Danio rerio: one gene and its partner. The protein of the gene in region 2 purifies or fractionates together with the protein of the main gene of each other region. This does not show direct contact. Links are inferred from orthologs where the notes say so. Each region holds a gene or a part of one and is shown on either strand. Other genes may lie near its edges.

Region 1 (3,660 bases), on a different chromosome or scaffold from region 2:
CTGCAAAATTTCATCTTAGTGAATGCAAGTCCTTTTGCGATGGTGCACACGGTGTTACATTTTACATACAGCTTCCACTTCCATGGCTGACGATTAAATGGATTAAATAAAACCTCTCACACTTAAAGTGAGTAGATTTAGTGGCAAAGGCTATTACCTGCAAACTCCATCACACCTGCTTTACATTGAATGCTTCAATCATTTTATAGCGGACTTTAACTCAATGGAAGTCTTTTATCCACTCTTTTGAAAAGTGTAAATGGTGGATTAGCATTCATCACATGATCACTAATCAGATGTACCGTTATTTGTAAATTTAAGTGTTTTCTAGAACAAAATCTGTCAGTTCTCTCATCTTCAGCTCTTTCCATTTTTGCGCCTGTCATCTGAAGGCAGAAGCTATTGTTTGAGCGATTGACAGTTGATATTAACCAGTCCATTCACTTACAGTTCTAGAGCAGTGGGCCAATCAGAAAAGGGCGAGAGTGGGGCAAGTATTGGGCATTTTAGGTGCAAAGATGGATTGTGCATGAGTGCCCACGCATGTGGTGAACAATTTGCAATGAAAACTGGTCGCACGGCAACAATTTTATGCACTCGCACAAATGCTTCCGATTATATTTTGAGTGCGCATTGATGAAATTTCAGGCACATATGCGACCAAAACAATTTCGAGCCCTGTTTTTGTCTGCACAAGCTAGATTTTTTTCATAAAATTTGTATCAACTGCTACAAAAGTTAGTGTGGGTGGGGACATTTTCATTTTGCTGTCATCAAATGTCCCAACAAATGTATGGTCTAATTCTCCTTTGCAGCTAAATACCTCATTTTATACAGGTTTTTTTTACACTTATTTTTGATTTGTATCAAAAGAAATCTGCACATGGAGTTATGAGTTGTCTTCTTATCGAATGAGGACACATTCTCTTGAATAAATATGATACAGTGATGTATTACAGTGTAATCTTAAGTTCCAGTGCTATGCTTCATGCAAAAACAAGATTACGAGCTTTTTATATTCAAGAGCTTTGTTTTGTAAAATACATGAATTGTCGAGGATACAAGTATTATTCTTATCTATTACTCACAGAAATAGTGTATTGAAATATTTAATTTAAAATTAAATGTAACATCCCGTTTTTATGACAACCGTATACACATCCATGCTAATTCCACTGTCGAATAAAACTAAATATGCTTCAAATGGTTATCAAAATGATCAGATTTTCAGATTTAAACTTGACCAAGAAACTGTTTACAATAATTTCAATATCGTATGAATGCAACATAAGCATCACATTCTCCTAAAATGAAGCAACCGAGCAAAGCCAAAATTTACAAGAGAAGTCTGATGTCATGTCATCTTTCCTGAGCATTTAAATGAGCAAATATTTCCATGTAATATGCAAAATGGTGCTTTGTTTACAGTTTGTGTGTTGGAAGTACTAGTTTTTTTTGAATGAGCAACATTGATTATTTTAGATCATTTTCTGTATTTTATTCGCATGTAGTTCTTTTTGGTGTGTTAGAGTACAGCTGTTGGTCATAATTCCAGCAACACAAGAACACCATAAACTTTTGTCCTCACTAGTTCTTCAGATAAACACTCCACCTTTTTTGGAATTCATTTTACATCTCCCCTAAAGTTAAAACGATTGAGTTTTACCATTTTTCAGTTCCTTCTGCTGAGTTTCTGGTCTGGCAGGAGCACTTTCAGCTTAGCTTAGCTAAATCATTGAATCATTGAATATTACATTAGCATGTTCCTCAGAGTTTTGATCATTTTCCTATTTGAAGGTTGACACTTCTGTAGTAGATACATTACCTACTAAGAATTGAAATGAAATCAATATGGCTAGGAACAATATTCTCATTCTGGCACAACAATCAAGTATTTTTGCTGCAATAAAAATAATTTATTGTTATTTCCACTGTAGTATTTTTAAACTTTAAACCTTTATGTCATCTTTTTCCAGTTTAAGCCAAAGTCTGTGCTGTCCAAGTATGATGAGGAGATCGAGGGGGAGAAGAAAAAGAGCTTCAGGCTAAGTTCTGGAGGTTTTGTTGGAGGTGAGAGAGAGCGAGAGCTGCAGGCCATCAGAGAGAGTCTGCGCGATCAGGCCCAGTCTCTGAGCACGTCTGCCCTCACTCTTGCCACTGAATACTACACGCCACAGGAGATGGTGAGAACCACATTTCAGCAAGCTTGAATTCAAATTGTATTTTATTTTTGACTGATGGTTTTCTTTTTTCCCCCCCTAATGTGTGACTTAAGGTTGGCTTTAAGAAAACTAAACGTAAGGTCAAGAAAATCAGAAAGAAGGAGAAAGTACCCAGGGCTGACGAGCTCTTGGTTGACGACACTCGAAACTCAGATTTCGGATCCAGGTGAAGTTTTCACTCAGTTGTGTTAATGCAGGACACTGCAGGTGAAAATGGTGAAAAAAAATTATCAACTAATAGTTAACATCTTTACTAGTTGATGAATTACATTGACAATTGCAAACATTTTTATTTTACATAGCAAGTTTTCTAAGGTGCTGTATTAATATTCAAATGATGCATGATTTAATTAAACAAGCTAGTTTGCATTTCTCAAACTAAAATCTAAAAATTTGTTGAACTCTGGTTCAGAATGCTTATATTTCTATCAGTGTTAGAATTTTCATCATGTATTCACCCTAAAATCTTATTTATGTATTCATTTGTTTGTTGTTTTTAATTGTATATTTATTAATGTTCTTGCCATAAAAATAGCCTTGAAAATTAGAAATAAAAATTAGAGGTTTCATTTAAATGTATTGGTTCTGGTTAATATAAGAAATTTAATTTTAAATATGATTCTTTATAAACAAATTATTTACACTCCTTGTATCATCATCATTAGAATTATATTTTTTTGACAAATACGAATAGTAGATTTTTATAGGGGGGATCTGCGGAATTTACTTTTATCACTAATCATTTCTAAAGTACTATAAGCATTCAGAAAAACAATATTCATAGCTTTTTGTTTCATAAAAGTAATATGTATAATCAAACAAATAGTGTATGATCATATTCCTCTGCAAAAATCTTCAGAGTATAGATTTAGTGGTGCTAAAGTTTTATTTTGAGAAGATGGCTTTTGAAAAAGAAAATAAATACATTGTAATTAAACTGTGAGTGACCTGACACACTTAAAAGTGTATTTTAAACGTTTACTGCACTTAAGGTCGAAAAATAAACACTATAAAGCCCACAATCTCTAAAATGATTGAAGGTTATGATAAAATAATTATAATCTCTAAAACATGTTGATGTAAAATGACAAGGTGCATGTAAAACATATTTTCCTGCATTATCTTGGCTTAAATACTCGGGCAACAATACAGTTTTCCTGCATTTCTTGGCTTAAATACTCCAGCAACAATACTAATATTTTAACACAATCATTCTGGCTCTCAGGTCTCGAGGTCGAGGTAGAAAAGCAGCAGATGAGGAGGAAGAGGCAGTGCCCGGTGATGTTGTTATAGAAAACATCAGCAAGTCCAGAAATGTCCTCCAGCAGTCAGATGACATTAGAATGGCCGATATGGACATTAGTGATGAGGGTAAGAGAAAACGTCTTCATGTCCAAATTTAAAACTCTTTTTCCTTTTTTCTTTTAAGGCATCTGTT
Region 2 (4,406 bases):
TGGTCAAGCGCTGAAGCTGACTCAGCAGCTGACCGTCCACAGAATCAGAGGAGCCCCGCGGGACATTGCCCACATCCCTGCCTCTCATCAATCCACAGGTGGGGAAGTGCCTCTCGTGCTCCCCTCGCGGCGTGTCTCCATCCACCCAGTGCCTCAGGATGCCCTCACAACAGAAGCACTGCACCGTATCCCCGTAGCCCAGATAGTGAAAGCCAGCCCGTGCGAGCTCCTCTGGACTCACTGCAGCGTCGCTGGGCCAGTTGTGGAAGGTCTGGAGCCTCTCCTCCTCACTGCGCATCCCGAGCCGAACCTCCGCCTCCATGCGCGCGCTCCTCTGGCGCTCGTGTCCGCGATCTGCGCTCATCCTGCTCACCTTCCATAGCGGGCTGTTCAGGTGTGCCGAAGCCCCCCCTCCGCCCGCCATAGAGCCTATTATTACGGCCAGTGATAATAACAGCGCGGCGGTTCACTATAGCGCACACATTTCCAGAATGTAAGCAAGTTGTTAAAATGATCTGCTGCCCCGTGGCCGAGCCCTGAATAACAATTTATACAATAGACGCCTTTCATGGTGATTTTCTCTAACTTTCACATGATATCATATGAACATAGACCACCTTTTGCCTATAGGCATATTTATATTTTTTGTGGTTATATTAATATTGAAATATTTCATTGATACATTTATAAACACACATGTTTTGAAAGTGATAAGAAAAACAATAAACATCACCATCATCAAAATCATAAAAATAATATAATAATAAAAGTAGTAATAATAATAATAATAATAAGAATAATAATAATAATAATAAGAAGAAGAAGAAGAAGAATAACACAATAATACTGATAATGATGATGATGATGATGATGATGATGATGATGATGATGATGATGATGATGGAGATGTTCTTTTTAGATGATACTTTTAGATGATTTTTTCTTTAAATTTGTGTTGATTATTATTTTTGCTTTTTGTGAGCAACATTTTTTATCACACTATTAATTTTCATTTTTAAATTATTATTACCTTGCTTAAAAGGTAAACTAGGCACAATTTCAAAGAAAATCCTGCTTTCCAAAATGATGTTCTTACTTTTAGTTATAGATTATAAAATTATTTATTTCTATATTATTATTTTTGTTAATAGCTAATAATAATAATAGTTATTATTACCAATTAATTTGTATTATTTTAATGCTATTAACATATAACATAACATATAACTGTTATTATATGCCTGATACAAATAACAATGCTTTTTTAACTTTGAATTTTTAATACAATTTGTACAAAACAAGGCAAGAACCACAACAACACAAAATATATGTATAAAAACAAAAGAACAGCAACAACAATACTGTTTTGTTGTTGTTGAACTTCCCTGGCTTAAAAAAATCGTTTTTGACTGCATCTCCCACAATTCCTTGCCGGAAGTTCGTCATATGTTGACGCCAAACATAATGGCGGCTCAGTGAAACGCACAGGCTTCGCAAGATCCTTAATTTCGATCAATAAAGGCAAGTAAACGCACAAAACTTCTCTTGTTATCCACTGCACAGCTGAACGTTTGTTCATAACTAAGGTTCACTCGTTATAGTCTTCTGTTTAGACTCTGTTGGCCATTGCCGTGTTCTTTGCCTTCAGTGTGGGGTGCAGCGAGATTATTAACTCCAGTGAATTTATTTTCATCTCAAGTTATATTGCACATAGAATGTTATAGTTTTATTATGGTCATCCCCGTTTTAATGATTACATTTGACGTAGTTTGACTAAAATGAGGTTAATAATTTTACCTAAGGTATACAAAAGGCCCTTTCTATTTATTTAAGTCAAATCTGTTAAATGCATTTACCGAGGTATAAGAAAAGAATCTCCAAAATATAAGCAATATATGTGGCAGCTAATCTTCTATAGTGTACATCAGATTCAAAAAACAATATGAACATGTGGTGTTTTCAGAAATTATGTAACGTTAATCTGCCAAATGTGAAGGAATTAACGTTACTGTATCTAAGCTATAACGTTACTATGCTAGTAGAACAGTCTTTAACAAAATAAGCAACGCACTTTGACAAAAAATATTTTATTTGTGCAAAACGGGGAGTTTAAATGAAAGAACAGCAGTGAGTGTATCAAGAATAATAGAGGTAAAGTTGGTTTTATATTAGCACATTTGTTTATTTAGAAGTCTCTAACGTTATTGTTTAGCATGTTACTTTGAATATTCGATCGGAATTAGTGGTAGTGTGGCTTGAAAACAACATTAACACTGTTGACAATTTGACTGTGAACAATGTTGTACTTTGATAGTCATTTGCTGCTAAGTTAATATGATTTCGCTATTTAGAGTTTGCAAATACTTTTATATGGTTGTATTATTAAGGGGAAAGTCAGAATGTGCGTATATAAAACCAGCTTTACCTCTATTCGAGAATAAGATAACGATGATGTCAAATGTTTTTGTGCCGATTAAATGTTGAAGCTTTTATGGTGATATATGGTATTATCGCGATATAGAGCTTTAAATAGGTATAAAAACAAAGTCATTGGTATATTGCTGTATTTTATGCAAATTCAGGGAAAAGAAATGTTGCAACGTACAATAGGTAACACTTCACGATGAAGTTTCCTTGCTTAATGTTAGTTAATAGATTAAAATCAACAGTAAAAAAGGTAGATTCATTACAGTTACTATGTTAATGAAAGTAAAAAAATAAAGTGGAATTTTGTTAGTTAATAACCAAATTTAAAGGGCACCTATGGTGAAAAATCTACTTTTCAAGCTATTTGGACAGACATATGTGTAGGCATAGTGTATAGACCAGGATCTTGGGGTGATATAAAGTTACCCAGTGCTTTTTTTTTTAATTTAACAACATAAAAACAGTGGACCAATTCGAGCTGTTTTTAGATCGACCGCAACTTGACGCAGGAGTGCGGTCCCCCCGCCCACCGAATTGATTGACAGCTGTGCGCATTAACATTTCCCGGTAGTCACATGTATAATCATGTCAACAAGACCAGACGTGCGCAAAGCAACCGGAAATAAAAAATCTGTTCAGTTTGCTAGGATCATCAATCATCATCTAATGTGTAAGTTTTACATGTTTAAAATGTTTTAAAACAGAGCACGTGTGTAATGAAGTACAGCGATTCACTTCAGCTTTACTTCATCAGCACAGCTGCGTGTCAAAACAATTATAAAGGAAGACGTTTCAATCCCTGTTTGGGGATGTTAAATCAGGTTTATTTTGTTCAATAACATAGCAGATATCCACACAGCAGTGGAGATTAAGCTGTATCCTGTCACATATGCATGAAAAAACAGTGCAAAGCTAAGCGTGCTCTGTCTGTCCGTGTGTGTGTGTGTGTGTGTTTGTGTTTGTGTTTGTGTTTTTGTGTGTCTGCTGCGGTGTGTGTGTGTGTGTGTGTGTGTGCGCGCGCGTGAACTTTGTAACGATATTGTGTGTGACTAATCAATGACACTGCACAACAAATACTCCTTGGTAAAGTTCTTACTGTAGTATTTCTCACAAACGCTACACGAGATCTTACTTTAAGTCTGTCTGATGTCTGACGCAGACGAGGGAGGAGATTAAGGCAATCAGAAAGGCACGTAAAAATGGTAGGCGGGGAGGACTCGCCTTAAAGGCGCAGTACGACAAAACTACTGTAGTGAACTACTGGAGTCGTATTGTACAATGTTAATTAATGAATATTAGCCCATTTCTATCAATATTTCAGCATGTAGTAGGCCAGAAGTGAAAAGTTCCAATAAAGTGTTTAAGCTTTGGTGCTGTTTTGAACACCACTGCAAATTCAATGTGAACACTGTATAAATAATTATTCACAGTAGTTTGCAGATATTTAAATATCTTTATTGAGTTATTGAATATTGCCATGTGTCCTATCATGAAAAAGACTTTAGCCTTTATCTGGATAAATTAAAACCTGAAATTGGGAGGAATCTGAAAGTGTGTTAAATTTTAAACATTGTTCCTTTCAAAAATCTCATTTAAGTTTTTTTATACTGCTCAAAAACACATATATTAAACAAAAAAACAAGATATTTAAAACTTCAGGCATCATCACAATCATGTGAAAATGGTCTGTTGTAGGTTTTATTGTGGTTTTTATTATTATAAATCAATTTTCTTTTTATCATGAGCTGACGATTTGCCGGTTTATTGCAATCAAAAGATATCGTGCATACCTCCCTCCTTAACATAACGCACAGTTGCTCTTCTTTCCAGATGGCTGGTGACTCTGAGAAGAAGGACCTGGACTCGGCTGGGAAGGAACGAGAGTCCCGTAAGCGCAGTCGCTCTCGCTCTAGAGAGCGCGATCGTAAAGGATCTCCTGGCCGAGAGCGCAAACGTCACAGATCCCGTGAACGCAAGCG

Evidence for each region. Proteins that work in one complex are often made in the same cells at the same time.
Region 1: the proteins of ddx23 (region 2) and sart1 purify together in Homo sapiens (affinity purification with mass spectrometry; 3 studies listed by BioGRID and IntAct, counting the BioPlex papers as one, with this or other methods). This does not show direct contact. The link is inferred for Danio rerio from reciprocal best matches to the Homo sapiens genes DDX23 and SART1.

What each region holds. Positions count from the first base shown.
Region 1 is NC_133196.1:30,351,542-30,355,201, forward strand, and holds part of sart1 (U4/U6.U5 tri-snRNP-associated protein 1), read left to right. Parts: intron 1-1,976; coding exon 1,977-2,183; intron 2,184-2,275; coding exon 2,276-2,388; intron 2,389-3,447; coding exon 3,448-3,593; intron 3,594-3,660. UniProt on the Homo sapiens protein: Plays a role in mRNA splicing as a component of the U4/U6-U5 tri-snRNP, one of the building blocks of the spliceosome. May also bind to DNA.
Region 2 is NC_133198.1:15,753,792-15,758,197, reverse strand, and holds the start of ddx23 (probable ATP-dependent RNA helicase DDX23), read left to right. Parts: upstream 1-1,457; 5' UTR 1,458-1,521; intron 1,522-4,257; coding exon 4,258-4,406. Other genes in the region: birc7 (baculoviral IAP repeat-containing protein 7), read right to left, coding at 1-364. UniProt on the Homo sapiens protein: Involved in pre-mRNA splicing and its phosphorylated form (by SRPK2) is required for spliceosomal B complex formation.